Schizosaccharomyces pombe: one gene and its partners. Changing the gene in region 2 together with the main gene of any one other region gives a genetic interaction. Each region holds a gene or a part of one and is shown on either strand. Other genes may lie near its edges. The genes, in order: cgs1, tup11, ssn6 and php5.

Region 1 (7,532 bases), 3.3 Mb from region 2:
AAGAAAACATAACGCAAACACTTCAGTGGCATAGTCGATCACACAATAATATCCAAAGTGATATAATGGAAAGCAATTAAATACGAAAAAAAAAATCCTTAAATACAAAGATGGAGATTTTTTAAAATTAAGACTACCCAAACCAACTTATGGAAACTAATGAGTGATTTGAAAAGAAAAAGACTGGAATACAAAACAGCAAAATAATGAACGATCGATTGTTAGATCAACAATTCGGCTTTATTGTCGAATAATTAAACATCAATAATCCAATTTCAAACAAATAGCCCAGCAACACTCATTCACTCACTCAAATCATCATCATCATCATCATCATCGACACCGTCATGTCGCTAAAAGGTGAATTTTTCAACATACAAAAATAAAAGACGGAAATCAAACATATGCCCAATGCTTCCAGGTAAACCCTAGTGGAACAGTTTGCCAAAAGACTTTTTCATACGTTTGAACCAAGACTTCTTGGGAGCTGCTTCACCATCAGTGGCGGTTTGTGCCTTTCCATCAGCCGTCTCATTCTCAGCTGTCGCAGTGGCACCAGCAGCAGGAGCTGGCTTGGTAGTGCCGGCAGCATGTTCCTCAGTAGCAGAAACAGGAGTAGGTTTGGTGGTGGCAGAACCAGGAGTAGGTTTGGTGGTGGCAGAACCAGGAGAAGGTATGGTGGTAGCAGAACCAGAACCAGCAGCATGTTTAGACTCGACGGTATCAGCAGAAGTCGGGATAGGAGCAGCAGCTTCAATAGCGGACTTCTTTCCTCCTGGTACAGCAGCCGACGTAGTACCGGGACTGGAGGGAGCAGATGCTTGTTTTGAAGGTCTACGTGCATGCTTGGAGGACTGGGCTGATTTGGCAGGCGTGGAAGGAGTCGTTGGCTCTTGTCCAGTAGAAGAGGGTTTCCTGGCAACCTTATGTTTCTCGGCGGACGCCTTGTCATGTTTTGACACCCTTTTGGAAGCAGTGGTGGTTTCCTTGGAGAAATCATGAGCAGTCTCGGTAGGGGCAGTGACAGCTTCTTGCACTGGGTGTTCTGCAGTGGTACCTCCAACGGCCACTGGGTTTTCAGACTCGGTGGGAATGGTCGAGGGGACATTTACCTCGTTCTTGACAGTGGAAGAGACACCCTTGCCAACATCGGTCACAGTTTCAGTAGCTTCTTGGACAACGGAAGACTCGTATTGCTCAGGTTGCTGAGCACGGACGGGTTGTTCAGCAAATCTCGCGATTTCAACCGTTTCGGCGGTGGGATGAGGAAGGTCCTCCTGTACAGTTTGTTGCACCTCTTCAAATGCTCCCGGAATGCCACTAGCACTAGCTCTAGCACTGGTTGTTGCCTCATGCGTCACACCTCCCTGGCCAAGGGCGATGGGCGATTCTTCTTCCACCGTTACTGTGGTGGTATGGGGGATGACATCTGCATGTGGAATGTCGCTCGCATCCTCGAAAACCGTCTCTTGCTGAACGTTTTCACCAATGCTTTCAAGTACGTTATCATTCATAATTCCATCGGCCACTGCATGTGACTCAGCAGTGGCAGTAGTAGAGGCAGAGGCAACTGCTGCTGTTGTCGTAGCTGCTGCCTGATCATGCGTAGTATTTATTTCTTTCGATATCATAATAGCTTCAGGCTCAATGGGCTTCAATTCTGGAATTTCTTTCTCAGCGGTAGTAATGGGTTGTGAAGTAGCTTTCGCCATGTTTTCCTCTACTTTCGAAGAAGGTTGCGCAGCAGATGTCGTTGCTGGCTTAGACGTAATCGAAGCTGGGGAATTACCGAGTTGCTCGTCATTGCGCTGGGGTGCGAAATGTTCGGCTACGACGTAATCAGCGGATTGTGTGGTTGCAGTAGACTTTGTAGAAGCGGATGAGGAGGAGGAGGAAGGGGAATTGGCGGGTTCGGTAATACTTGTATTGCGTGCTTCCGTAGTTGGCACTGCTGTTGACGTGGAGGCAGAGGGTTTGTTGTCAGTAGGCGGCTCTACAGTACCCAGAGCTGAGGATGCTATGGGTTCCAAAGGCTCGTCAACCTGATCAGCGTCTTTCTCCACTATAGTTTGTGTAAATCCTGGCTCTTGTAATATGGTTTGTTCTTGTTGTTCCTCTTGCGCGTGCTGAGCTTCTTCCACAGGTGTGGAAGAGGCAGATGCTGCTGCTGACTGCTTCTTCTTTTTTGCAGCCTTCTTTTTGGCGCGTTTAGCGGCCTTCTTCTTGTTATCCTTGGTGACGGACGCCTGGGAAGAATTGTTATTCTGCTCGACCGCGTTGGTACTTTTCGAATCCAGCTTCTCCTGGACTCTCGACGTTACTTGGTGAATTTCATTTTTCGTCTGTTTAACAATATCGGGATTCGTGGTCATATTCAACTCAATTTTTGTTCTACTTTTACACGCTCTGCGTTCTTGTTTGGTGGTTGGTAGAAGTTGTAAATCTTGGCGTAACTAGAATTTATACGAAACCCTGTTATGTGAGTGAAAAAATGCATATGTAAACAAAGTTAATTCAGACGAAAGTAAGACACAAAACAAAACATTTCTTTACCAAAACATTGCTTCGCTGATCATCTTCTTAATATTACAATTTATCTCGAGTGCTTAACTTTATTCTGCAGTAATTGTCATTTCTACCCGTTGTGCTTGTTGTGAATAACCTACCCTACTAAGAACATTCACAGTAAATATGTAGTATGGAATATGGGGAAAAAAATTTTTCTTGTTTAAGAAAACCTTACGCATAGTTCGCAACTGTAGTCGTTTTTTTATTTATTATGTTCGCAAGAACATTGAATGTACGAAATTGAGTATTCTTTAAAATTTTTTGTATCCCATTTCGTACGGATTTGATAATTGAATAAAAGTCCTTTCGCTTTTTGCTGAATTTATTTGTCTAACAAGATATTCGTTTTATAAGTTTTTTACACAATTTGCATTCTCCTAGTTACACGTATCGTTTATCGCAGACTGTAGTTTCATCTAATTTGCACCCCTTTACTCAAAACTTGGTAAAAATTTTGTGTATTGTATTAAAAAACTATTCTCAATTCTTGATATTAGTCAATTTCTCATAAAATTTTTAAAGTTATGTCACGTAACTACAAAAACCGAGAACTCACTCAGTTTGCATACAAAACATCCACACTCTTGAATTTTTAACACTTCATCCCTTTCCCCACGTCTAGCGTCTGCCTAAAGCTTTCTAAGTATTTCATGCTTGCAAGTGTTTACGGACCACGGTAATTCTTGTATAATGTGCGTTACTCCAATGCCAAGTACATTATTGAATGCAGCTGCTGTTTTGAAGAGTGTGTGATTATTCAAAAAACAAATATAAGAACTCTCCATATAGATAGAAATATTTGACGATATCAAATATCGATTAAAAAACAAAAAAAAACAGGATGAAGAGAACGATAAAATAACTGTCATGATCCGTACGAAAAAAAAAACACAAACTAAACGGTAAGCTTCCAAACATCAAATGCTGCGATATTCGACAGATAAAAATAATAAAAAAAAAAGGAAATTTCAAAAAGAAAAAAAAAAACAAAATAAGAACAGTGAAGTGGTAATCACGAATATAATTGGAATTAAAACATTAACAAACCATATCCAGTGCCATGCTAGAACAAGACATAAAGGTTTTCAAAGAAATAAAAAAGAATAATACGTATATATACATTATCACATATAATGCTGAATTAGATAAGTAATCCAAACAAAACATGTTCAACATGAATAAGTAAATTATTCCAGGGATAATGGTAAACAATCACATGCATGCATGACCAATATGAAAAAGTTAGAAGGCAAACAAACAACAGGGAAATTCTTTAGCATATCATGACAGGTCATTATTACAAAGATAGTTTCAAAGAAAACAGATTATAGAAATTTTATGCTTTAGTTGATGGAGGTGACCTATGAAGAGATTGGTCACCATACTCATTATCCATTCCCATCCTGGCACGAGGTTGATTACGCATCAAATCGATCGCGTTACCAAGTAGTCTATTAAATGTAGGTTTATCAAATGTAGCAAGTTTCAGGCGAGTTTTTGCCTGTACCGTCGCATTTCTCACTGTTTCGTGAATTAAAGCTAGTTCACCAAAGTAATCTCCCTTGGTTAGGGTAACGACTACGCCTTTGCCATTCTTCACTACTTCAGCCTCGCCATCCTCTATCAGATAAAACTGGTTACCAATGTCGCCTTGTCGAATAACGATGCTACCGGCTTGATACACGACTGTCTGAAGAGCATCGGCAATTTTTTGTCGTTGATATTTGTCAAGGCTTGAGAGAATGGGAACTTCTTCAAGGAGGCTTTCATACAGCATCCTCTGGCGATATGCGTTTTCAAATACGATACGACGGAAACTTGTACGATCTAATGCGTAAATTACATTATTTGGTGTTTTGGAGACCACCGATGCAGCTCGTGGAGCATTATACATGAGTGCCAACTCTCCAAAATATTCACCGGGAGAAATCGTAGTTATGTAGTTACCATAACCACTCGAAAGCACTTCTTCAGGGGTAATATTTAGTTCGGGCCTTTTGTATACATCGAATTCACCTTGCTCCACAATATAAAAGTAATCTCCAACTGCTCCTTGGACAATGACAGCAACACCAGCCTCTCCAATCCGTTTTTCAGTCATAGCGTTCAGAACCTCGTTGTAATGTTCTTCATCCAAATTCTTAAACAAAAAGTTCCCAGCAACTGAGCGCTTTAGTCTTTTCAAATCTTCAGGATCCTTCGGAGGAAAGGTTCGTTTGGTCTCTAGTGCAAATGCACTAGGATTCATCGACTCAGTGGAAACAGATTGGCGACGCAACAGATTGTAGTTTTGCGGATATGAAACGTTCATTTCTTTTAATCCTCCCAATTCAGGAACGTATTTGGCATCCGGACCAATTGCCTCGGGGCCAGCAACCATATCGTTGAGCTCAGACAGGAAATCGCTTTCATCTCCGTCGCTAAAAGACTCTGTAATGGTGTCGCCTAAAAGAGAAATTTGTTAACATGATAAAACAAAAAAGGGTAAAATTTGTGTAGTATAGAGTGGGAGATTAAATGGGTACAGGGTCCTTAAACAACTTTGTGGAATTATTAACAGCCAGGAATCATAATTGCTGTTTGCTGACTAAATTTAGAAAATACTTACTATAGAGCAAAACAAAGTAAAAAACCACAAAAAAGAACCCATATTGACCATCATTTACTTTTCCTCTCCACTAAACATAGCTATCCAGAAGCATCTACTTACCTCGACGAAATACTGAGCGCTCAGCTTTCAGCTTTTCTCCAAAAAAGTCATAGCAAAATTGAAGTACATCTGAAGGATTTTGCTCATCAACAAGGGCTTTTAGCTCCTCATATACTTCTTCGAAAGACATGTCTCCTAAAGTTTACGTGCCTTTCTTTCAAAAAATGCGGTTTTTTGTTTCTTACTCTCAGTGAATCACAATCTCGCGGTTTTTGTTCGCTTCAGCTTTTCCTGACACTTTAATCAACCACAAGAGGTAAATTTTCCAAAATAAAAGAGCTGAATTCAGCTATACAAATCAGTTATTTACCTTCGTTTGTTACGGTTGAGATGTATGTTTAAAGTCTACCTGAGGCGTTGGACTAAAATGGATGGATGCCTGCATTAGCTCACTCATACGTCATAAAATGTACTACGCAATGCCCTGACTCCATAATATGGGGTTTATCGAAGCGCATAAAAAAATAGAGAGTAGAATGTTTGACGATGCAACATAGCTTGCGTTTTCCAGTGTTTCGGTATATTATTTTGTGAAGCTTCTTGTACATCCGTGAGTTAAGTTAGTTAAGAAATGAATAGTGAGCGGTCTATGGAAAAGTGATATGATAAATATACATCTATAGTAAGAAATTAGAATCGCTGAATATGAGTTGTTTGTTTTCAAAACAAATTCAATGTAACTTTTGAAGTCTATCAGATCAGAGAGCTTGCCCGACAGGATTACAACAATAATAGTTTTGGTCTTATTAAAAGTGCTATAAAAACAATCATTGAAGTAAATATGCTTTCTGTATTGGCTAAACAAAGGTTTCAATGAAAACGTAAATAAGGAATCGCTAATGTTCACAGATAACAAAAGCGAATCCTCCATACCCTTCCTGCTTTGCTATTAACTTTTTCGACAAGAAAACGAAAATGCTTATTAAATGAAATAAAACCAGACGGCAATTTATTATGTAAAGTATTAACTAAGGTAAACATTAAACACATGAGAAATAAAAGTAGAAACCACCCAAAGACCAAGTTGTGCAATCACTGTCAAAAAAAGAAAAATGAAACAGCTTATGCATGCTGGTAAGTGTAATTTTCGGCACTAATGTATTAATTAAGAAGTCATCAACAACGTTACGTGCATGAGCATTAGTAAATTCAGGTATAAGAGGATGATGTCTCGTCCAACGGTCGCTTTACTCCTCGTAAAGCGTCGCTTGAGTTTGATGGTAAATTCATGCCCCTTACTGAAGATGAGTCGTCAACATTGTTTCCGTTCTTTGCATTAGTATCAAAAGATCCATTTTCGTTTTCCATTATATCTCTTTTACTAAAGCTTGATGCATTTCCAATGGAATTCATCCTTTGTCCTTGATTGCCTGTTTCAACTCTCTCTAAAGTATCATTAGGCGAAGAGTATAAAGGCCGATCAGAAGTGAATGGTTTGTTTATTGGTATGGTGTGTAGATTTTGATGGCTTGTTATCTCTGATTTGCTTTCAGAAGCAGTGGAGTTGTACGACGATGATCGAACTGACGATGGCCCCGCGGACACATTAGCCATTGCTCCTGGGGGTAACGGGTCTCCAATACTCTGGCGTGTATCTGGTAACTTCGAAGGAGCAGATGGCCTAACATATGGAGGTGGTCCAACGTTTACTGCAGGACGTTGAGTGACTGAGATACTAGGAGACGGTGATGTTATGTTAGGGTGCGGCATTGCAGTCGGCGCCGGATTAAGTTGCTGTGAAGTATAAGCTTTACGACGCTTTGCCTGTTGTTGCACTTGTTGGGGCCCTTGCATTTGCGTTTGCTGCTTTTGAAGTTTTTGGGCTAAAGCCACAGCGAGAGCATTCGCAATCGCTGTGGCTTGCTCCGGGTTGTTGGCAGCGGCAGGTCCTAGCTGCTTATTAATGTGCTGTTGGAGTAGTGAAATTGCTTGAACGGCTTGCTCGTTGGGAGCCTGTTGCTCTCCATTTGCATTCTTGAAAAACTCGGGGTTCAAAGCAAGTTTCCCATCGCGCATAATGATAGGTTGAATGCCATTTTGAAGTAAGGATTGTGGTCGATCCTCTACATTTTCTCCTCGGGAAGTATGAGTTTTACTACGACTAGTTTCTTTTTGCGGATTAAGCTGTTCGGTTTTTCCAGCTGATATACCCTTTGTCTGGATAGCGGCTAATTCATTCTCCCTAGCAGTATCAGGATGAGCAGCTGGTGTAGCAGAAGGGGTGGGCTTTTTTGTTCTTCTAAAGAAATTACCC
Region 2 (7,151 bases):
CCATAGAACTACATTAATGCAATGAATTAGGATTACTTACAAAGCCATTGAAGTCGGAGATGAGCTGGGAGACGTATTTGCGTTCAGTAAATTTGAAAAGGTTAGGATAAAAGCAACCCATGCAATTAATCTTCTCGTTAACATGAAAATCCTAAAATATCTTACATACTTGAAACGAAGAAATAAAGCAGCCATACACGTGGCTGTGCTTACCAAACTCAAGCCAACTATAATAGGGTTAGCAAACTTAATAAATTATTTGACGAAAGAAAGGATTTAAAATATTCCACAATGAACTAAAGCTTGAGCGATTAAATCAGCGTAACTCACGATTGGGTTCAATTTGAAAGTGCTTTCTACTTTACCTTCTTCATTTGCTTTGACTCTAGCTTTGTAGGGAACGATTAAATCAGGTCGTTTAAGTTCTGCAGGCGCCATATTTTATGAATTTTCGTTGTCGAGACTTCAGAACTGGTGAATGGGATGGTTCCTCTACAAGAATATAATGAAGTTAGTAATAAAATGTGTAAAATGGTTTTAGGTTAGGTTATTTAGCATTCAAATATATCGTGGGGGTTAAGAGTTCTTATCCCACTAAGAATTTCAACTATTTTAGACTTGGCTAAGCATTAGAATTAAAATCGATTGCAGTACCACGTGGGGGCTTTAGCAAGTCATAGGAGGAAACTGATCCTACTTGGCGAGTGAGAAATGGATTTCTTTTAGCATTCTAAGTCTTCTATATAACAATTTAAAGCTCAAACATAATATAATATTATTTATACTATTTTAAAAATTTAGGAACCAAGCCAGGTGAACTTAAGAAGTTCAAAGAGCATTTAATCGTTAGATGAAATAATAAAAAAAAAAATTACACTCGTTCACTCGTTTTCAATTTTACGAATAGGTTTGGCAGGTGATCCTACAGCCAACGTATTAGGTGGGATGTCTTTTGTAACAACAGCACCCGCTCCAATTACACTGCCTTCCCCGATAGTAACACCTGGGAGAACTATAACTCCCATACCAATCCAAACATTGTCCTGAATCTTGATAAAATTTTGTTTGTTAGTTGTAAGATGTTTCAATAACTGGACTAACGCATACGTTAATTGGTAAACCAAATTCAATTCCGGAGTTCCTTGCTTTAAAATCCAAGGGATGTGTTGCTGTACATAGTTGAACCTGGAAAGACACCATTAGTATATTTATTTTTTGAATGAATGACTTGAAAGTAACTATATATATATATAAACATACATTGGGGCCTAGCATTACATTATTACCAATAGTAATTATGGCAACATCTAGAAATGTACAATTATAATTTGCAAAGAATTTTTTTCCAAAATGAACGTTAAATCCGTAATCAAAAGCCATAGGTGGCTCAATCTCTGGTGCTGAAGATTCGTCAAATACAAAAACTTCAGCCAACAGTTCAGCTCGTCTTTTAATCAATTCTGCTGGGCCTACATTTTCCAAATCTCCCATAGTGTCATTAAACCTTCGCATTAATTTTTTAGCATTACATCTCGCTTGAGTCAACTCCTCGTCGTAAGCCTTGTACCTGTTATTTAGTAATTAGAATATCTCCCTGCGTTCAATGTGACTTCAAACATGTCAACGAAGATGATATATTAGCTCGACAAGTTTTAAGCATTAGCCTTACGGTTGACCAGATATCATTTTTTGGTATTCAATGGTTTTCGGTATCATTTTTTGTACACGAGTACGAGTCATTTCTGTCGGAAAACAAGTATATTCACTAGCATTGACAATGGGACTAGTAGAGTTATCGATGTATAAATAGACTTATATATATATATATATATGTATTGATATCAATATTAACAAATTGCTGATAAAACTATACGGAAACTTTTTAGTGAAATAGTTTGTAAAACGTAAGTAAAAACATCTCGATGATATATAGCGTCAGCTGTTACACTACATTATGCCCCACTATGCAACATATCATTAATTGTCGCATTGCTTTATGTCTGGCCCCTACTCGTATTACCACCAGCATACCAAAATTTATCAAGTTACAAGTAAATAGTTAGTGTAGCTTAACAAACGCTGAGGGCCGTAAACTGACAAGCAATAACAAGATATGCAATGAACGTTGTCCGTCCCTTTTTTAATCTTGCTTTCCTCCTGTATCATTAAACTGATTAAACTGGGTAGTAATCCCAAACTAATGTCATATAAAAAAAAAATTCAAAACAACTTAAATAGTACATCAAACAAAAATTGATAAGTAAATAAGCAATAAATATGATTTAAAAATAAATCCAAAGTGTATTTATTAATCGCCCTTGAAGTGTAAATGGCATATCGTGTCAGATTAAATGCTCAATTTCTGACGGCTTCGGTTTGCTGCGCTTAAACATTTTGCTTTAGTGTTAATAAATTTCAACTATGGGATTTTTTCATCCTTCTTCATGATAACTAGATTATATGAAAAAAGCATCTTTAAGACAACCAACAATGTTTTAATATCAGTAAAGTGCGTCAAATTTCGCATCATTAAACAAATAATGTCACTTATGATTAACTGAGTCATTAGCAAATGAAATGTGAATTTACGGGTTAAATACTATCATAACTTTTAATTAATACTTATCAAGATAAAACTCACTGTAATAATGTCTTACAAAGGTCGGTAAACAATCTAATTAAACAAGGATCAGATAATAAATTGATTAAACACAAATTTTAATTTTTTTATATTGATATATAAAAACGGTTAACAAATTTTTCCATCAATAAAAAAAAAATGAATTACACTACGTTTCAAAGTTATAACTATTTTTTTATAACAAACATCAACTGAAAAGCAAGAAAATCTATATTCAAAAAAATAATATAAACGCTACAAAAAATCAAACAGTAAAGGGTTTCGAATTGCTTTTCTCTATAATTCAAATGAATTTCAAAATAATTGGGACAAGTTGCCAACACACACGCCATACTAATTTTGTGATACTTGCTCAACCAAAAATATGTAGCACCACATTCTCTATTTAAAGATTAGCGCAGCACAAGGAGCCGCTCGATAAAAGTGCTGCTACAAACGTTCAAGAACACAAGTTTATTCTTGTACCACAATTCAAGTGTTGCTATTGTTGTAAAAGGGCGTATATCAATCGGATTCAGTTTTTGCAATAAGTCTGACTGAAAAAAAAAATGGCGTCAGTGGAGGATGCCACGAAAGTTCAAGAAATGCTGGATGCGTTGAAGGCTGAATACAATGCTTTGGCTCATCATAGCTTCGCGTCCAAGGCGCGCGGAAACGACTATGAATCTTCTAGTACGTGTTTGAATAAAATAAATTAAATTAGCTATTTTTTGGAAACTAACATTCTGTTCTATTGCAGTGATACAATCTCAAATTCAAGAAATTGAAGCGTTCCGAAAAACCGTGGATGATATGTATGAAAAACAAAAATCTATTAGAGAAACGTAAGTTTTTATATGTTAAAGGTATCGAGGGATTATATAGTATCTACTTCTTTTCTGTGAAATTCATCATTATTTTATAATAGCATACGTGTCGCTCGAGATTTATATGCTTGAAGTAAAAAAAAAAAAACCTTTATAACATCTGTCTTCACCAATTTACTAACATTTATAGGTACGAAAAAGATATCAACAAGTTGAAGCGAGAGCTTGAAGAATTAGGTGTCGAAGCGAATACCGCAAGTTATAGAAATCGTGGAGAAAGATCTGAACTTGCCGCTTCTAATAATCAAGTTACCCATATTGATCAGGAACATCCCTCTCAAACCAAATCTACTTCTCAGCCTCCAAGTAACCATCTACCTGCCTTTCAGCAAATCCCTCCAATTCACCAATCAGCTTATCCTCAAAATAATGTTGCTGAAGTATTGATGCCTCCAATTCCTCCTTCAGTAGAGGCTTCTAGCGGGCAAAATTTTAATCAGGGAATTGCTTCTCAAAATCCCGCGATATCTACATCCAATTTACCTAGTACTACACCTTTATATATCCCTCCTGTTAATTACGGAGCAAATCAGGTTTCTCAACAACCAAATCCTCAATTGCCTGGTGTTTCCAATTATTATAATCCAAGTGCTACTTCAAAACCTGCTGTGAATGTCCAGCCACCGCGTATTCCTACCAAAGCAACTCCTTCGGCTGAACCTTCTATGACTGCTTCTGCGAATGCTGGTTCTATATCCCAAGCGGGTCCTGATGGAGAATATCAGGGAAGAGAACAGATTGCTCCAGTTTCAGATACAGAAGCTGCTAGAAAGACAACTTCTCAGAGTTGGTACGTCACTTATAACCCAGCATGCAAAAGGGTTTTTAATATTAATCTCGTGCACACACTAGAGCATCCCAGTGTTGTTTGCTGCGTTAAGTTTAGTAACAATGGCAAGTATTTAGCAACTGGCTGTAACCAGGCCGCTAATGTCTTTGATGTTCAGACTGGCAAAAAACTTTTTACTTTGCATGAAGAATCACCTGATCCTTCCCGTGATTTGTATGTGAGAACCATTGCTTTCAGCCCTGATGGTAAGTATTTAGTCACGGGAACAGAAGATCGTCAAATAAAACTCTGGGATCTCTCAACTCAAAAAGTTCGTTACGTATTTTCAGGTCATGAACAAGATATCTATTCCTTAGATTTTAGCCATAATGGGCGATTCATCGTCTCTGGTAGTGGCGATCGAACTGCACGACTCTGGGATGTGGAGACAGGTCAATGTATTTTAAAGTTAGAAATTGAGAATGGTGTGACGGCAATAGCCATCTCTCCAAATGATCAATTCATTGCAGTTGGTAGTCTAGATCAGATAATTCGAGTATGGTCTGTGTCGGGTACTTTGGTTGAACGATTGGAAGGTCATAAGGAGAGTGTTTATTCTATTGCCTTTTCGCCCGACAGCAGCATTCTTCTTAGTGGAAGTCTTGATAAGACTATCAAAGTCTGGGAATTACAAGCAACTCGTTCAGTTGGCCTTTCAGCTATTAAGCCTGAAGGTATTTGCAAAGCCACCTATACAGGACATACTGATTTTGTTCTTTCAGTAGCTGTTTCACCCGACAGCCGTTGGGGATTAAGCGGATCGAAGGATAGAAGTATGCAATTCTGGGATTTGCAAACAGGCCAATCTTATCTCACTTGTCAAGGACACAAGAATTCAGTTATTTCCGTATGCTTTAGCCCAGATGGTAGGCAATTTGCTTCGGGAAGTGGTGATTTACGTGCTCGCATATGGTCAATTGACCCTGCATCTCCTTGAATTTTTGTTCCTGTTTACATATAACTATTTGCTCTCGGAAATAGTTAACCGCATTGATTTTTGGTTACAAAGTTTACAAACTAAATTTTGTAAACTCTATTACTACACTGGTATATTTCCTTAATTTGTATCATATTTTTTTTGCAATATTATTTCCTTTACTTACGGTCACAATAGACAAATCATCACTCAGTTTTTTAATGTCACTAATTTTGGAGAATGGCTTCTCTCATAAATTAACTGAGACACTTTTTATTTAAAAAATAAACAATTAATAAAAAATTCCTTAATTTTTAATTTTAGTTCTATGATAAATGTTGCATAACTTGAGATAATACTTAATACTTTTCAATGTAGATTCTTGAAATACATGTGGTTGATTAAACATTTTTTAAATGGTTATTCTTGTATTTAGTAATTTGCATATCTCCACCTTGACTCCGAAATTCACCAACAGATTTATCATATACTCGCTAAAATTATGTATGTATTAACCATCTTCTGACTTCTTCAACGCGAAGAAGACTCATTGTTTCGATTTTATTGACTAAAACATAGAAATTGAATAAATCCTAATCGATGCTATATTGAGGTGTGCTTTTACAATCCGTTACAGTTCGATATCTGCACGTTTCTTAAGGCTATCTTTTCAGGAGTTTATAATAATCCTCCACGGCTTAAGCAGTCTATAATTTGGGTTTACTTCATTAAATCTTTAATTTAGCACTTTTTAAATATATTTAAAATCTTAATACTTAAATCGGTGCCAACCCAGGACCTATATTACGTTTGGGTTAAAGAAAAATTGTCGTTGTTTGCTGCATCGATTTATATCTAAGCTATGAAGGCTTTGGATATAGACACGATTCTCACCCAAATATCGAATCAACAGTCATTGGATAAACGCTACAAACGCATAAAAAGGCTCATCAACAATGAGCAGTTTTGTAAAAATGTAATCCTACAAAAACTTGTTGATTCCACTAAAGACATTATTGAAAATAAAGTTCACGGAAACATACTGGCAGCCACTATTTCCTTATGGACTCATGCAGCTGAAAAGCATAAAGAAATGTCTTCCGATGACCGTGCACTATTATTCAACGAGCTGTCAAAGGTTCCGAATTCTGAATACTATCCTGCTACTGTAGACGCCTTGATTGTTATTACATCCCAAGGCGAAAGAACTGAGTCTTTTTCAAATGACATACTTAAAGTTTTGTCTGAATGGTTGACTGATTTATTTACGATTATTGATGATATGCGAGCTCAGTCGAGAAAATCCTTCAAAGGAAGTGCTGAATTGAGAAATTACACCCGTTGTTTTCGTCAGATAATTCTCTTGCTTACGAATATGTTCAGGGTGGGCTTTAATTTATTTGATGAAATGGAGGTTTCTTCTATGCTAGCGAATTGTGTGTGGGTCTCAAAAAGCACCACCGATGAAGAAGACATTGCATTAGTTTTTTCGTTATTAAATTGTATTATATCCTATGGTCGCATATCTTCCGCTGTTTTGTATTCTATTGTTGAAGTAGTATGTCGAGCAAAATTTGGCTTAGTCGCAAGCTCACAATCAGCTCAGCAGATTGTTGAGAAACTGTTGAAGACAGCGACCAAGTACGAAGCACTTAATTCCCTAAAACGGATAATGGAAGAGACAGATGAAGGTTCTTATATAGCGATTATGGGTGGTATTCAAATCGTGAGTGCTCTCTTTACCGATATCCCTAGATCAGTGTATTGCACTAGAGGAATGCTGCTTGGATTCCTTCAAAGATCCTTAAAGAATAAATCTAGTCGAATAGCTTTAGAAACCACTCGTTCTTTATATAATGCTTTGGAGCGCCGTTCTTTTGTTGAAGTGCTTTATGCAGA
Region 3 (9,763 bases), on a different chromosome or scaffold from region 2:
TCAAACAGTCTCGTCCTACCGCTGTCAATCTTTTTGAAACTGCAAAGTTTATGCAAGGCATTGCTCTTCAAGAAGGAAAAAATTGTCGAAATAAAATTATTCAGGAAGCGGAGCGTATGCTAGTAAAAGATTTAGAAGACAACCACAATATTGGAACTGCTGGCCGAAAATTCTTGTTGCAGCATTACAAAGATAAAGACAAGCTCACCGTTTTGACCCATTGCAACACTGGATCTTTAGCTACCTCAGGTTATGGTACAGCTTTGGGGATCATTCGTAGTTTACACGAATCGGGGAACTTGGAACACGCTTATTGTACAGAAACTCGCCCTTATAACCAAGGCTCTCGTCTCACTGCTTTTGAGTTGGTTCATGATAAAATTCCAGCAACTCTAGTCACAGATTCCACGGTTGCTTCAATTATGCACAAAATCGATGCCATTGTCGTCGGCGCCGACCGCGTTACTCGTAATGGCGATACTGCAAACAAGATTGGCACATATAATCTTGCTATTTTGGCAAAACACTTTGGAAAGCCTTTCATAGTGGCTGCTCCCTTTTCTTCAATTGACACTAGTTTAGCGTCTGGTTCTCAGATTACCATTGAACAGCGACCTCCGATTGAAATGACCACGATTACAGGCCCCATAATCACAGACTCTAACAGCCGAAATCTAGAGGATCCAAAGCGTGTTCGAATTTCTATTGCTGCTCCTGGGATTGACGTGTATTCCCCAGCTTTCGACGTTACACCTGCTAATTTAATAACTGCCATCGCTACAGAAAAAGGATTTTACACACAACAGACTAACAATAAGTATGATTTTTCTTGAGTTCCTTGGTATAGTTTATTATGCTAGTCTCTGCTTTAAAGAAGCAACATTTGTGAGCGAACTTGGCATATTCTTACAGGTGATTAGCACCTAAAATTTAAAAGTCTTTTGAATTGTTTCAGTTTCTCTTCTTTCTTTCCATATATAGTTTACTCTGCTTTTGTCTACTTAATAAAAATAGATAATGAGACTACAATAACTTGTTTTATATAATTAGTTATGTGATTCCTCCATAATAGTGCATATTTGGTTTGATTAAAGCATCTATAATTTATGCAATATATGACACAGGGTCTCGAGATTATATATTTTAAATAATTTCCTTTTTTCTCGATAAATGTCAACTTCAGATACAATTTTTGTTTCAACAGATCAATAGCAGACGTTTATCGTAGGTGGGATATACTTTCCTTAACAAAAATTCCCGCGTATCAGCTACACCAGTATCATCAATTTTTAAAATATGTATGACTATTGTAAGCAAATTTCAAATGTGAGCATATTTTACATTTCAAAAAGTTATTTTTATTAACTCCGAAAACTATATACATCAAAGAAAATTTTTAGGACGCATAACACTCAGATAAATACAAGAAATAAAGCAATTGCAATTCAAACCAACACACACAATATCAAGTCTAATAATCGTACTCGAGCCTTGATTATCATGAAATAAACATTACAAAAAATTGGGCCTTGGGGGTATACTTAAACTGACACGGTTTCTTTTTCTCCCTCATCATCATCGTAATTTTCATCAATATCGAGAGTCCTTGCTGCTTGCTTTGGACTCACACTTTTTGGGGCAAGAGGTGTCGAATCTTGATTTTCGGGACTAGGAGAGCTACGCTCTTGCGATTCTTTTTGGGGCAGTTCCTCTTCTGCAGTAGTAGTAGTAGCGGCAACAGTAGCTGTAGATGTATCAACAGCATCCGTAGACTTATCAACGGTAGCTACATTATCCATATTGCTGTCGCCGTTAATATCGTTAGTGTTTTCAGTAGTAACATCATTAGAAGTATCATCTGACTTTTCTTCGGGACTCTTGGGTAAACTCTCACTTTTAGGTTCCGAAGTCAACTGTGCAGAATCCACCTGTTCAGAAACTGACTGCTTAACTTCTTCCTCTCCAACATCGTCATTTACATCAGCAGTTTTCTGACGCTTTACTGGCTCCGTCGAAGAAACGTCAGTATCAGCAGTTTTCTCAGTCTCCTGGTGATTACGCTTGGTACTCTTTGGATCAGCTGTGCCTTCAACCGGTTTCAAAGCAGGCTCGGGTTTTTGTGGTTTAATACTCTTAGCAGCATCAGATTTTGAGCTTGAACTAGGTGATCCACTAACAACTGTGCTATTCTCCAGCTTTTTAGAGGAATCACGTTGAGTAGATTTTTTAGGATCACTTTCATTCGAAGCTGAAGTCCTCGTTTCCCTTGATTTACTAGAAACTGAATTGCTACGTTCACGATGACTAACATTAGAAATAGAATTATTGCGTGAACGCGGCTGATCTGATAACTTATGTTGAGGAGACTTGGTAGACGAAATAGAATTTCGAGAACCTGAAGCGTGCTTGCCTCGAGGAGTAAAAGCATTAGATTGGTGTATAGTCTGTGGCACAGCAGTCTGGCTCGATGGAGCAGCAGTTTGTACAGGAACAGTAGAAGCAATTACTGGCTGAGTAGCCACGTTGTTATTAGTAACTGACGGTTGTGTTTGGTAAGGCTGTTGCACGACGCCTGATTGACCGGTAGCAGAAGGAAGTTGAGCTTGAGGTAAGTGTGGAGGTTGCCAATTACCCGACAACTGAGCAACAGGAACATTAGAGTAAGGCACGCCTGGCTGGTTGATATACTTTGCAGTCTGTACGTTTGGGACATTGGAAGGAGGAGCGTTGACAATTTTATGTTGTTCATTATTAGGTCCACGTAACAATTGTAACCTTGCCTTGATGTGAGGATTAGTGGGGTCCAATTCAGCAGCACGCTGATAAGCATCAAGCGCATCACTTATTTGATTATGACAACTCTCGTACAAAGTACCCAAGTCATACCAGACTTCCGAGATGTAAGGATTTAAGCGAATAGCACGGGAATAAGCATCCAAGGCGTCTTGATATTGGTTGATTTGATAATACAAAACACCAATCGAGCACCAAAAGGTAGGATTTCTACCATCACGATACACAGCTTGTTGATACGCTTCATATGCCTTGTTGTATTTTTGTTGTGCCACATAACAACGACCTATCAGATACCAAGACTGAGCATCAGTGTCATCTGCTTCTAAAGATTTAGTCAGATATTGTATAGCAAGATCCTGGTTAGTAAACGAAGATGACTGTTGATGGCACAGCCATCCGAGTTGCTGTAGAACCTTGGCATGATTGGGAGTTTCAGCTAAGACACGTTCATACGCTTCCTTGGCTAATTTATACTCTTTTCGTTGCTCGTATACGTGACCAATTTGGAAGTATATGTCCAAGACGGTTAAAGGCTTAGGGGGATTATCAAGGATGTGACGAAAAAGCTCTAACGATTGGGCAAATTTATGCTGCTGTTTGTAAATGATTCCCAAACGAAAATATATTTCATTAACCTTCTCGAAGTTGGGATCCATGCGTAAGCATTGCATAAATGCCTCCTCAGCATGCTCATGAGAGCCATAACGGTCGTATAAAATACCGATCCCGTACCATAGTTTCGGATCTTTGGGATCTTTCAAATGGTACAAAGCTTGACGATAGGCGGAATAAGCGCGAGAAAGATCATCCTGCATCAAATAACAGTGACCTAAAGCACTCCAAATTTCACCCTGCTTAGGATCACAGTCTAAAATAGTTTGGTAATATTCAATGGCAAGCGGAAATTGCTCGCGGTTTCGTAATATGGTAGCAATTTGAAGCATAGCGGGAATCGAATATGGGTTCTGGCGCAAAGCGGACTCATAAGCAGAAAGGGCTTTATCCTGATCATCAAATAGCTCTGCAAGACGGCCAATCTGAATCCAAGTTTCCTCGTTAAGTGAAATTAAATGACGAACAGATTCAGGAGCGTTGGGCGGCAGCACATTGGCGCCTTGTTGAGCAGCAAGCGTAGAAGTAGCTGCGGTTTTATTTTGAGGTACAACAGCCATAGCAGGAGAAGAAGTCATGGGAACAGGCTGGGCATTTTGAACAGCGGAATTTGCTGCAGGAAGGGTCACCGGACTGGCCAAGGTGTTTGGGGTGCCATTTGCAGGAAGAGCCTGTGGAGGAATGGGAGGCAATGCAGCCTGGTTTGGAGCAGGAACGGGGGCAATAGCAATAGGTTGGCCAGCCATTGGATGATTGACGGCAGGAATCGAATAGTAAGTACCATTTTGAGAAACTATTGTAGAGACGGGCTGCTGAATACCAGAATGTAACTGACGCTGCTGTTGTTGTTGCTGCAAAGGCTGCTGAGGCGGCTGCGGTTGTTGAGGCTGTTGATGTTGTTGCTGTTGAGGCTGTTGTTGGGGTTGCGATTGTTGTTGCTGTTGCAGGGGAACGGGAATGTAAGGAGAAGCCTGGTTGGGAAGGGGTAGCTGTTGAATGGGTTGGTTGGAAGAGAGTATGGGCATCATTCGTTGCAACTGAGGATGCTGCTGAGGTGCATTCGTAGCAGCAACCATGTTTGGAGGAAGTTGTCGGTATTGTTGAGGTTGTAGAACCTGCTGAATGGGAACAATGGCTTCAGCATAATGAGGCTGGGATGCAATAGAGACAGAGGGTGGTTGTTGAATGTTTTGCTGGGCAGGGCCTAAAGAGGGAGACTGCTGGGCAGGTTGCTGCTGTTGAGATAGTAGAGGATGCAATGTGGAACGAGGAAGATGAGAAGGGGGAAGGGAAACAGAATTGGCATGGAGGGGTGAAGCGTAGTAAGCAGTCTGAGGGGGCAGCGAAGCATTTGGGTCGGACGAGAGGACTTTTGAGCCCATGCCATGGTTGGGCTGTGCATTCTGGGAAGGAGAAGCAGTAGCGACTTGTGATTGGGGCATATCAAAAAAGTTTTTAAGTACAAATTAGATAGAGAAGAACGAAAACACGGAGGAGATCGAAATATGAAAAAAAAAATAATAATAATTAACAATAAACAATGGACAATGAAAAAGAGAAAAGAAAAAAAAAAGAACAGAGAAAAAGAATAGAAATTCTTCAAGAATGCAACATCCGCTTATGGAAAAGGAAAAGTTCAGAGAACGAAATCCACGTAAACCACAAAAATAGAATGGAAAAAAGGAATTGATTAAAAAAAGAAAAAGAAAAAATTACAGCGAAAAACGAAGGATGTTGTCGTATAAAAGTGGATACTGTACAACGATGCCAAGAGCAATTCAGTGGAATAATAGGTTATCCAGGCAAAGTGAATTGATCAATGGAAAAAAAATGGTCCTTGTTTCACCAATACGTGTAAAGGTAGGCGAGTATGTCAGATAAAACAAAACTGTATTTGTAGTATACAGTGATGTACTTTCCTATACTATATACTTGGTCCTAAGAGTTAACAAGCCGTTACACCAAAAAACCAAAAGGCAAATGAAAGCAGGGAACGAGACACAGTGTTGAAACAGTGTCAAGTAGAGTAATCACTTGTGAATGGTTAGATTCGTGTGATTGATGTCGAGCAACAAAAAAAAAAAAAGAAACTATAAAAAGAAAAAGCAAGCAAACAAAAGCAAAAGCAAAATAGAAAAAAAAAAGCTAAGCTATGTCAAGTTTGCAATTGTATAAAAAAAAAGAAAGAAAAACAAAAAAGCTTCCCGAATTTTATTTGCCCACAAAAAAAAGAAAAAAATTGAAATACTTACGAAAAGTTATGAGATGTCGCGCAACGTCGCCGTCAAGACCAACGAACGACCGACCGACTCAAGTAGTCTGTTGAAGAAAAGCAAAAGGAAAAAGAGCAAATAACCAAATGGAAATAGACTCTAAAAACACGATGCGATATAAAGCGCAGAGCAAGACTTGAAGAATAGTTAGAAGAAAAATTCTAGTCTGCGAAACTGTCGTTTTCCTATGCGCCAAGCAAAGATGTAGTTGACAAGAGTGCTGCTATGCTGGCTGACTAAGGGTAAGTGCGTAAAGACGTACAACACTGCAATGTATACGAGTGCGCCGAGAGCGAGTGAGCGGGAGTGGGTGAGTATGAGATATGCGAGAGAAGCTCACCTAGTGACAAAAAAGTCAACGACAAAACCAAGATCAAGAACAGGGAGTATAGTGAATCTAATATATAAGGATTTCGGTAAACCCCGATTGTGCCTCTTTGTACTTGGGTTGAGCGGGTGGAAGAGGGAAGCAGCGGCAAAAGGAGGGGGGAAGAAATGAAGGGGCAAATCAAGACAAACGCAAAAGAGGTAAAAAGTGAATGCTGACAACCAGGTGCAACACAAACGGAACTTTGACCTCGCAAAATGTCACCTGAGAATCATCGCGTTTTCACGAGAGCGAAGTAACAAAGACGGGAGTGTTATGACAAAAGGCAAAGGCAAGGGCAAGACAGGGTAAGGTAAGGCTGACGAGTTGGCGACGGCTTGGAGCTCGTATTTTAAATATAACGCAAAAGAGAGAGATGCAGGACAAGGGCGATACAAGGCAAAATGTGTAGGCGAGGGAAGGCATAGATAGAGAGAGAGAGAGAGCGCACAATAAGGAAGAAAGATGGGCGAGATTGGATGAAATGGGTGAGTCAAGAGAGCTGGGAGAATTTCAAGCGTTTCTGTTTGTAAAGAAGATTATTATTCATCAACAAGGAACTAGATGGAGTGTGAAAGGAATGGGGATAGACGGGGATAAAGAAGAAATTGGGGTTATCGGTTACGTTGGTAGTAAAAAAAGGAGGGAAGCGTCATAATAGAGAGAAGGAGAAAAATAACAAAAGTTGGATTGGATAGAATTTAAAAAAAAAAAGAAAAAAGAAGAAAAAAAAGAAACATTCAATCAATAACAATTTCGAAAAATCTTTTTACTTTAAAAAAAAAAAAAAAAGCGACTTTATGGAAACTGTATTCCACAGTGCGAAATGAACAAAGCAACAAACGACTCTATTCGTCTTTGAGCCCATTCTGTTGGTTGAGGATATATAGTGTAGCGTAAGTTAGCTCACCGCTTGCAAAATTGAGCCTAGCACAGGGCGCTAGTAGAGACAAAAGTAATCAACGTAAACAAAACGCATCGTGTTACTTGCAAGATAAGAGAAGAAAGAAAGTAAAAAGGAAAAAAGAAAATTTACCAACGAATCACACTGCATATGCTTTTGGTTGATGGGATGGCTTGTCCAAAGCAGCCACAAGGCAAAATAGGAGGATGCAAAGCAAATGCGCAAGTAAAAAAAAAAAAAAGCATGCGAAACCGAACACTCTTAATGAGATGATGGAAAAAGGTGAAATTTCTTTACGGCAATTTCCACTCCACCGAATACCGAACCGATCGATCAAAAGTGCTGCGGCAGCGAAAAGTCTAGCGCAAAACACATTGCTGAAAACGTATCGCTCAAAGCACATCGCTTGACTTGATCTGTCATGCATGCTTTGCAATTTCCACGCCATCCCCTTCCATTCAATTAGTTTAGCCATGAAAGGATGGATGGATGACAAGAGCAGTTTGCAAAACGAAAAAAAAAGAGTGCAGTGGAACGAACTTTGCGAAAGGGTTCAATGTATTTCAGTAAATTGGCTAGACCCACATGGGCAGCGTATCTAAAGTAAGCTCACATAAGTGATTACGAGTTGCGAGAGCCGACAGTGACATTAACATTTGGGCAGGCATGACCAAGACCATGACAATATCTTACCTTTCTGAATGACGACCTCTTACAACCTGGATGCATCGATATTATTGATATGAAAACTTTCTTATTATACGAGATTCTTTTCTTACGGCCACCATGACTCTTTACTAGTCCCCCTTACTCTTCATTTTACTCCTACTACTCCCCAAATTCATACACACTTTCATTCGTCCCTACTTGATTCTCCAAGTATCACCCGATCGCTGTATGCTCGCTCCTACTGCGACGAGAAGAAAATTGCATCTCTTTTGTCCGTCGATCCCATTCTCGATTTGCACACGTACGCACATATGATAAGGCATCGTTGCAGGTGACGTTGTAATGTCTGCCGCTTCCATCAGCACGATTTTTAGTCCATAGCATCCCTGTCCCTTTGTTGAGCGCTGCACATAAAGGAAAAAGAAAAACCGAATGAAATTTGATTTAATGTAACATACATGCTTTACTAATAAACGAAGAAAAGAGTCGATAATGTCAAGGGGAAATCTAAAAGAAAAGAAAATACTATACTATACTATACTATACTAGACTATACTTTACTTTACTAAACTATACTATTATAATGAAAAGGATCCTCAAGATTCATTCTTATACGGATGTATGTTGTTTCGATGTTTATAAATAGGAATTGGATGTTTAGTTGGCGAGTTATTTAGATGTTTAATGATAGTTATTTGTATTATTTAAATTATTTGTATTGTTAATATTATTTAAATTATTAGTATTATTTGTATTTGCATCTATTTATATGTTTAATGATAGTTATTTGCATCTATTCATACAACTATTTCAATCATTCAACAGGAATAAAACCATTTCCTTTTTATTCTATCCCTCTTTCTTCTTCTAATCTTCCTTTTCATTCTTTCTTTACTCTCTCTCCCTACTCAACTCTTCCCATATCTAGCGTTCCTCCTACCTCCAGCGTTTCTCCCAAGTCTAGCGTTTCTCTTATGTCTAGCCTCTTTTATATGTTTCGCTACCATCTATTTAGTGAAGTGCGCAAGAATTTGTTCTTTTCTTCTTTCTTTCTTTCTTTCTCTGATCCTCCTCCTTGTGCTCTTTCGTCCTTCTTGCAACGTGCTATTTTTCCCTACAAGAACCTCCCACTGCCCAAGGCCCATCAACAATCTAACATGACGCGATTGATAGGAGAATGACTTTTAGGTCTCGAAAGCCAAACCTTACCTCTTCGGAAGATGCGCGTAGAAAAACGCACCGTTTCCATATCACCAAATAGGAGAAAACACTATCGCGCCTTATTCACTCATTCCAAAAAAGTGTCGTCATCGTCAATGAGGGCCGCTGTCATCGACAAATAAGAGGTCAGTCATCTTTCAAGGCCAATTTGGTCAAACTGACTCGACTGGTGCCGCAAGATGAAAAAAAAAAACACCGATGTCCATTAGAGCCCATGTGGGGCAGTGCCCCCTTGAGAAAACTGACTTCACCCCTACCCTGAAAAATGACGTAGTATCAGGGCGTTCCGAAACGGATATCGAGTCAATTTCCTTGGCATTGACGGTATGGACAAAATGGCAATTTTAAGAAAAGTCGTACCAAAACCATCTGATCTTCCCAATCACCAATGATCTCAATTTCACGTCACCTCTCACTGCACGGCGGTAAAGGAAGGAACGGGGAGGTTTTTTCCGAGATTGGCTCACTTGCTCACATTGGCAAGATTGGCTTCGAGAATAGCATAACCCAGTATAACACACTTAAAATAGAAATAGCATTGTGTAACGAAGAAAGCCAAGGCTGCGTTAAGACAGGGTTAGGCCAAGTCAGGTCAGACAAGGAAGGGGGGATACACATACAACATACCTTTTCCATTCCTTGCTTGCTGGCTTACTACTTCCATTGCAAAAACTGCTACTACTGCATAAAACGTCACTTGTCTGCTAATAATGCATACAAAGTTACCGAGAGATTGGAAATTTGATATTGTATGATAGATTGCATTCGTGACACTCAGTGTCCGAACCCCTAAATGCATAGAATGAAATGACATGATTGATATCAAGCATCAGCGCAAAAAAACACGCACCAGAGCCAGCGCTACAAGAAAGCATCGTTAGGGAGCCAGGGGAGCCTAAAGTACCCAAAAGGAGAATTGCG
Region 4 (7,316 bases), on a different chromosome or scaffold from region 2:
AGCTAAATGCTACAGACGAAACACTCAGTCAAAAGGTCCTCGAGTTGTTTGTTCAAATAATCGAGAAGAGGTTATTTTTTCTTCGAGTTTTACGTCGGTTACCTAAGACTAAATACATCTACTTAGAAAATACGAAAACCCCAAGTAAAGCTTCACATAAATAAGGTTGCAAAACAAACTGAACATTTATACTTATGAACATGTAGATAAATTGCCAAAAAAAAGGTTGACGAACTCTAAGATTACGAATAATTATAGAAAATGAAGAAGCTTTGGTGTTCTAAAATGTCAAACTTATATATAAGAGTTTGGAACCAAAGCGTGAAACATGCTTACTCTTCGTCAATAATTTCTTCCTCCAATCGAATACCTTCTTTGGCAAGTGTATCAATCAATGGACCGCAAAGCTTCATATCATTAGGAGCCAAAACACCTGGGGTGTTAATAACACCATCAAGAATTTGCTGAGTAGCAACACCACAAGGAACGCCGACTAATTTTGCCATAGAGGTGTAGCCATTAGGAACACCGTAGTCAAGCAAAGTGCAAGTACGAGTTTGGCGTTTTCCTTCTTTGGTTTCAACTTCAAACTTGTGTTGAAGGATTAACATATCACGTTCACCTTCTTCGTATTGCATAAGTTCCTCCAAGGTAGCGCATAAGGTGTCCAAAGGATTACCACGAGGAGTAACGGGTTTGCTAGAGAACATACCAAGCCACTTCAAACCATTCAAAATGCGCTTCTTGTCGTCTTCATCTTTGAATTTGTGGATGGAAGAAATTTTCTTGATTAGGTCGGCTTCGGAGGAAGATTCAGCCTTGATGACACGAGCAGTAACCTCCTTCCAAGGCAAAGCGGGTGCTTCAGGAGATAAGTATTCCTGAGCTGTCTCATCCAAAAATCCCATATCAACCAAACAATGAATAAACTCGGGAAATCCTTGGTAACGTAAAGTACCGCGAATGATAGTTTCTGCTTCAGGTATTTGATAGCGCTCTTGGTAGACAGTGGAATCACGATTAGGATAACAAACGAAAGCGTAACCGGGATAGATGAAATAGGGTTTAGCAGTTTCCATCAAATCCTTGCCGTCAATTTCAACAAGTTTGCCGTTTTCATAAAACTTGGCAGAGTTGCGAAGAGCCAACAAAACACCACGAGAAGACCAAGAAAACTTGTATCCTAAAGGATTGTTGGAGTCCTCGGGAGCGGGAAGACCTCCACAATAAGACAAGAAAGACTTAATCTTACCGCCAGCTTTATGAACCTCTTCAATGGTCTTGATAGCATATAAATGATCAATACCGGGATCGACGCCGATTTCGTTCATACAAATAGAACCAGCCTTGATGGCAGCTTCCTCCAACTCAGCCATTTTGGGATTCACATAACTGGTGGTACAAACGTGTTTACCATGCTTAATGGCAGCTTTCATAACTGTTGCATGATAAGTGTAAGGAATCAAGCTGATGGTAAGATCATGTTCGGAAACAGCTTTCTCAAGAGCTGCTTCATCATTGACATCCAAAGCAATGGCTTTGCTGTTTGGGATACCATTAATAAATGCTTCAGCCTTAGAAAGAGTTCTGCATGCTACGGTTATATTATTTTCTTTACGACGAGATAAATATTCTAAAGTAGGATGAGCGACAAATCCCGAACCAAGTAATAAGATGGAAGGCATTTTGATGTTGAAAATGAAAGAGGCAGTCAGTTAAGGACAAGTGGTAAACCAAAGACTTCTGTTTTGTCGTCACGGTTTTAGCGATATATAAGGGGTTCCTTTTTATCCACAGATTTATTTCTGATGGCCGAAATCGTCGTCTAAATTGATGAAAACTGATTATCTCGAATCGGTTAAAAAAGCAGTCACATGGACCATTTTTTGAATTAATATTTAATCGTTACGTTTCCTCTCAATGTTATGTTTGGCTTACTAGGGGAATTCGTTATTATCGACAAGTTTAGTCGATAATTTGTTAGCAGCGATGTCGCAACTGATAGTTTTAGCAACTTTTTTTACGTAGTTTTTTTCTGCAGAACAGAAGTTGCTTAAAAGCTAGTAGATGCCATTCGTTGTTGTTTGGGGGTAGATTAAAGAATTCTAAGCTTTAGTATAAGAATAATTTGTTTCTCCTCTTTCTGCCTATCTGTTGTTCATAATCAACTGCGTAGTTCTGGTGAAGGAGTAAATTAAACTGCCTCGCACCGCCGTACTCATTTTTACCTCGAGTATGGTGGCCGTGGAATGGTGGTTTTTTATGCAGTCGGGAATGAAAGCAGCTGTAATTTCCTTGCATAATGAGCCTAAATACCTTTTTACATAGAAGTTAAAATTTATGAGATTTTAAATTAAAAAATCATCAAAAGTGCAAATTTTCAAGTACATATACGAATAAATTTAATTATAAAGTAAACCTAAACGTTGTTTAAAGCTAATTGCTTCTTGGTAACCGATTGCAACATGCCATCATTTATTTACATTGACAACCCGTAAATATCCATAATAGGTAGAATGTTATCGACAATGAATTTCAAATGCATATATATGTTTAAGTAAAACAAAATACTCTACACTAGCAGTCCCGCAATGGGAAAATAAAGAGGCAGCAAATATGAAAAGCTTCCGTCATTTCTTTTTCGGTCTTGCTAAAAAAATAAAACCACACATAGCTTAAAAAAAGTAACAATGACTAGACATAGCATGTCATGAAAATCAACTGTTTCTTTAAGCTTTTGTAGATAAACCGAAAATTGACAAATTGAAAGTTCCACCTAAAAATGCATCACTGTTGGATCCTCCCAAATAATTTAATAGAAATTATTTAAATTGCATGTTCTAAATCAACAGGTATTAAAAGATATTACTGGGGTTGTTGCGAATAGCGAGAAAGAGGGTTTTGTTGCTGGGAAAACTGCTGATGCATTGGGTTTCCCTGACGCCCTTGCTGAGTTTGATACATCATAGCGTTTGGCTGTGAATAAAGTCTCTGTTGCTGATCGAATTGCCGAGGAGATCCAGGTCTTCTTGACATACCATATGCAGAAGGATCAAACATTTGAGACTGTTGCATATTAGGTCGCATATTACCTTGAAATTGGGGCATTTGATATCCCATAGGGGATGACTGCAATCGGAAAGCTGAGGATCCAGATTCGAGATGCGTAGGTGGATAACGGTATAAATGCTCAGCCATGTACGGTGCTACCATGACCGGTCTTTGCATATTCATCTGGTTAACATTTCCGGAGTTATCTGACATTTGTAGTTGTGGATATTCAGAGCCCAGACGCTGCTGTTTATACATAGATTGATCAATATCTTGCATTTGCTGCATTCTGGATGGATGAGAGGAATACTGCATTGAAGGCTGACTTGACTGTTGATTTGAAAATGGAAGTTGACTACCAGTTGGCATTGGAAACCCTTGATTGGGTAAGCCAGCTTGAGTGGGGAAAGGTTGTAAACCATTCATACCACCCATAGCAGCAACTTGAGTAGCAGACATATGAGCTTGACTGGAAGATGCGCGGGAATTATTGTTATCTTTAGATATAATATCAATTAAGAAATCATACATTTCAGATTTTGATACTGCATTTGCAATATCGGATCTTTGTAGTGTCCTTCGTTGATTTTTTTTGGCATGAAGCCAAGCCCTCATAGTAAGCTCTGCAATAAATATCTCACTTCCTTTAGCGAACAGAAAAGGAGCTTCTGCCGAGATCATTTTATTCTAAAAAAATTAGTAAAAGTTAATGTCAAAAAGTATTCGAATACTCAAAGTAACGTACCTTCACATCATCGTCAGTTTTCATAACTTTCTGCATAATCAATAGTTAGTAATTAATTCAGAAAAAGTGGCATACCTTAATACGAGCTAAGGGAAGATGCAGAGTTTTTACAGCTTGATCGTCATGTTCCAATGTATCGATGGTTTTTTGCCAATATTCAGCAAGGGCTTGTGCATCACTGCCAACAAGACCTTGAGTAACATTATCAAATGGACTAGCAACCTCAATGGGTGCACTAGCGTTGTAGTGATTGACAGCAGTTGGATCAACATCGGGGACTGGTTGTTGGAAGCGAGAAACAGAATCTTGACCATAACCTATCCGTACCTGAGAATTAGGATTGCCAGAGGGATCAACATATTCTCCTAAACCTTCGGGAAAGCCTTGTTTCAAGGAATAGGAATCAGGAATAGAATTCATTTTGCAATGAATCTTAATTGAAAAACGAAAAAAAGTCTACAGAAAGGCAATTTAGTTTAAAAAGAAAACTGGAAACGTAAAGGCCTTTGCCAATTAGATAAGAGATCAATGCAATCTCACTGGTGACAGGTTTAAAAAAACGACAATGACAAAAATTGTAACTATGCCGGGATCTAACAAATACCAGTTTCCTAAAAACAAAGCTGTTAAAGAAACTGACAATAATTTAAGCTAAAGAATTTCAAATCGAAAATCTAAATATTAAGAGGCGATAAAGATGCGGATTAAAGAAAACTTCCAATACCTTGATGTACAGCTTAACAAAATCGTAACCAAGATAAGTAGAAATAAAATAGAAAGGGAGCGGAGTAGTCTCCGGTAAAATGGGGAATTAAACTTATATGAGAGGTGAGCAGGAGACGAAACAGGGAAGTAAAACAAATTGACGTCAAGTTGAAGAGTGGAACGGAAAGAAAAAAATAAAAAGTTTTACAATCGAAAGGAACACGAACGGCTAAACACGAGGCTTAGTTGCAATATCTAAAAAGATAAATACCAATCGTCTTAATTCACGAAAAACTCGTAGAATGAGTAAGACAAAGCAACAAGTGCAGTTACTAACGTATCTCTAACACATTAACTTCTTAAAACAAAGAACTTCAATAAAGAACACTAGTAAAGCACCTTAACTCGTCGAAGTGTCTTGAATTATCTATGTAGCGTATTACACCTGGCTTAATTAAGTATATAGAGTGCAAAAACACTCAATATAGCGAAAATCGGTACGATTGAATTTATTGGTGGCTGGCAGAAGATGGTTGGCTGTCACACAACTTATTGATGGAACCGGTTTATAGTACCACATACTTTGTTTCTACAATTGCTAAAACACTTTAACGACACGTAAATATTCATTATTTGATATACATAATTAATGTTTTCGCGGTAGTAGATATAATACTATAAACAATAGCATGTGCAAATATTATTCAGTAATTAAAGCAAACAGAATAGAAAATACGTATAGTAATTGACTTCAATCCAGGAATTACATTAAAATACATCCTTGTTAATTGAATCTTACGCCTTTTTAAAGTCCTCGCAAAGATAAAGCTTACCGCGTTACAATTTGTTGGTCTTACAACAGTTCTTTAAACGTGAAAGAGTAATTGACCTTTATAAATAGAATTATTTTGAATGTAATAAATTCTTATTTTTTGTTTTATCATTATAATAGTAGGAATTAGAAAACACTTTCAAGTAGCTAGGTTTAGCATCTTTATAAATAAGTATGATTGAATAAGCAGAGATTAATTATTTTTAAGAAATTTAAATATATCGTTTTCAAATTAACCATTTGAGCCACAATCATCTAACTAGTTATTTGAAATATCATAAAAAAATCATTGCAGAAATCAGTTTGAAGCTGCTTAAGTCACTCATAATAACAACATAAAACACTTATTTGAAGGTTTGCACTTTACTATATGAGATGTTTGTTGCTGGTAATATCGTAAGCAACGATCAGCAAAAGTTCTGTTGTAGCGTTTGATTCAACTTTCCTGTTTGTAATTACCTTTGATTTAATAAGAAATTTCCTTTTTCTAAATACTGACTGATCTTATCATATAAATGCTTTGCTCTCAAAAGGCTTGGCTGCTTGAACCTGACCACTCATCCAATGCTATAAAATTCACTAGTTGTATAGGTGTCACCAAACAGTTTATTGAGATTAAACATTTAAAGCTTTAAAACTAATGAATCAGTTTTATTAAGCATTGGTAGCTTTTCTTTTCGTTTTGAGGAGAGTCCAGTTGTTAATGATAATTGCTGCTAGTTTTATATCAGATTTACAATCACGAAGATATCCTTCACTTCTTCATTTCAATCATTTTTTGTTTTTCTTTCATCTTAAGGCTAAGAAAGGATGCTATCACGATTCATTAAAAGAACATATAGCACTCAAACTTCTTCACCTGTAGTCGGCATCATCGGTTCTGGGCCGGCTGCTTTTTACACAGCCCACAGACTCTTACGAAATGACCCAAATGTCAAAATAGATATGTTTGAATCCCGCCCAGTTCCATTTGGGCTTGTACGTTATGGAGTTGCCCCAGATCATCCAGAAGTTAAGGTAAGTCTGTTAAGCCAAGAAATATTGATTGGTTTAAAAATGGATCTTATTAAATTTATTATACAGCTAACCTCTATTGTAGCATGTAGAACACAAGTTTTCCGAAATTGCTGAGTCTACACAATTTCGCTTCCTTGGTAACGTAAACGTTGGGACTGATGTTTCTTTACGGGATTTGACTAAAAATTATGATTGTTTGGTCCTTGCCTATGGAGCTGCTGGGGACAAGAGACTGGGAATTCCAGGGGAGGACTTGTCAGGTGTTTATAGTGCGCGAGAAGTGGTGGGTTGGTATAACAGTGATCCCAGAAATCAAAATCTTGAGTTGGATTTAAGTCAGGTAGAGGATGCAGTAGTTATTGGACATGGTAATGTTTCACTTGATGTAGCTCGAATCCTTTTAAGTAATCCTGCTCAATTATCCCCAACTGACATTAATCCATTGTTCCTCAAATCACTTGAAAGAAGCAATTTAAAAAGATTACACATTGTAGGAAGAAGAAACATATTTTCTGTCTCGTTTACTATCAAAGAATTGAGAGAACTGTTTGCCCTATCAAGTGCAGTTTTCTTTGCTCCTTCCTTTAATTATTCTACAAAGTGGATGAATGAAACAGATGCAAGCGGTTTGGATAGACCTAGAAAGAGATTGTTAAAGCTATTAGTTTCCGAAATCCAGAAAGCTGTTTCAGAGAAACGAGTAGCCCCTTATTCAAAAGACAAGAAATGTTGGAATTTGGAATTTGGCTTAACACCTGTTGAGATTCTAGGACATAAGGGAAATGTTGAAAATGTTCGCTTTCAGATTACAGATAGCATAAGAACAGATGCTGAGTCAAAATTTACAACCATACCCGCACAGTTGTTTATCCGAAGTATAGGGTATAAAAGTATGCCCTTGCCTGGAATGAAAGACGTTGGCGTTCCATTCGACGATGCAAAAGGAATTGTAAAAAATGTTAACGG

Evidence for each region.
Region 1: of tup11 (region 2) and cgs1, changing one suppresses a phenotype caused by changing the other (phenotypic suppression), as found in Schizosaccharomyces pombe (one study listed by BioGRID).
Region 3: of tup11 (region 2) and ssn6, changing one suppresses a phenotype caused by changing the other (phenotypic suppression), as found in Schizosaccharomyces pombe (one study listed by BioGRID).
Region 4: of tup11 (region 2) and php5, changing one suppresses a phenotype caused by changing the other (phenotypic suppression), as found in Schizosaccharomyces pombe (2 studies listed by BioGRID).

What each region holds. Positions count from the first base shown.
Region 1 is NC_003424.3:3,641,115-3,648,646, reverse strand, and holds cgs1 (cAMP-dependent protein kinase regulatory subunit Cgs1), read right to left. Parts: upstream 5,619-7,532; 5' UTR 5,409-5,618; coding exon 5,279-5,408; exon of another isoform or gene 5,014-5,278; coding exon 3,905-5,013; 3' UTR 3,011-3,904; downstream 1-3,010. Other genes in the region: SPOM_SPAC8C9.04 (uncharacterized protein), read right to left, coding at 429-2,372; SPOM_SPAC1142.09 (uncharacterized protein), read right to left, coding at 5,802-6,149; DNA-binding forkhead transcription factor for ribosomal proteins Fhl1, read right to left, coding at 6,428-7,532.
Region 2 is NC_003424.3:297,750-304,900, reverse strand, and holds tup11 (transcriptional corepressor Tup11), read left to right. Parts: upstream 1-3,104; 5' UTR 3,105-3,189; coding exon 3,190-3,313; intron 3,314-3,380; coding exon 3,381-3,465; intron 3,466-3,489; exon of another isoform or gene 3,490-3,637; coding exon 3,638-5,273; 3' UTR 5,274-5,623; downstream 5,624-7,151. Other genes in the region: protein pat10, read right to left, coding at 41-130, 170-227, 366-438; SPOM_SPAC18B11.09C (serine O-acetyltransferase activity), read right to left, coding at 882-1,049, 1,108-1,185, 1,261-1,567, 1,670-1,740; SPOM_SPAC18B11.11 (GTPase-activating protein), read left to right, coding at 6,115-7,151.
Region 3 is NC_003423.3:3,858,592-3,868,354, reverse strand, and holds ssn6 (transcriptional corepressor Ssn6), read right to left. Parts: upstream 6,056-9,763; 5' UTR 4,851-6,055; coding exon 1,542-4,850; 3' UTR 1,303-1,541; downstream 1-1,302. Other genes in the region: mri1 (methylthioribose-1-phosphate isomerase), read left to right, coding at 1-833. UniProt on the Schizosaccharomyces pombe protein: Acts as a component of the ssn6-tup corepressor complexes, which are involved in the repression of many genes in a wide variety of physiological processes. May also be involved in the derepression of at least some target genes.
Region 4 is NC_003423.3:3,391,485-3,398,800, forward strand, and holds php5 (CCAAT-binding factor complex histone fold subunit Php5), read right to left. Parts: upstream 5,023-7,316; 5' UTR 4,217-5,022; coding exon 3,872-4,216; exon of another isoform or gene 3,827-3,871; coding exon 3,797-3,826; exon of another isoform or gene 3,739-3,796; coding exon 2,866-3,738; 3' UTR 2,420-2,865; downstream 1-2,419. Other genes in the region: lys9 (saccharopine dehydrogenase), read right to left, coding at 333-1,685; mitochondrial [2Fe-2S] cluster assembly NADPH-ferredoxin reductase Arh1, read left to right, coding at 6,144-6,350, 6,433-7,316. UniProt on the Schizosaccharomyces pombe protein: Component of the CCAAT-bound heteromer, php5 is essential for DNA-binding activity. It is essential for transcription activation of cyc1. It is the linchpin that binds to the subunit association domains (SAD) of php2 and php3 to bring these proteins together.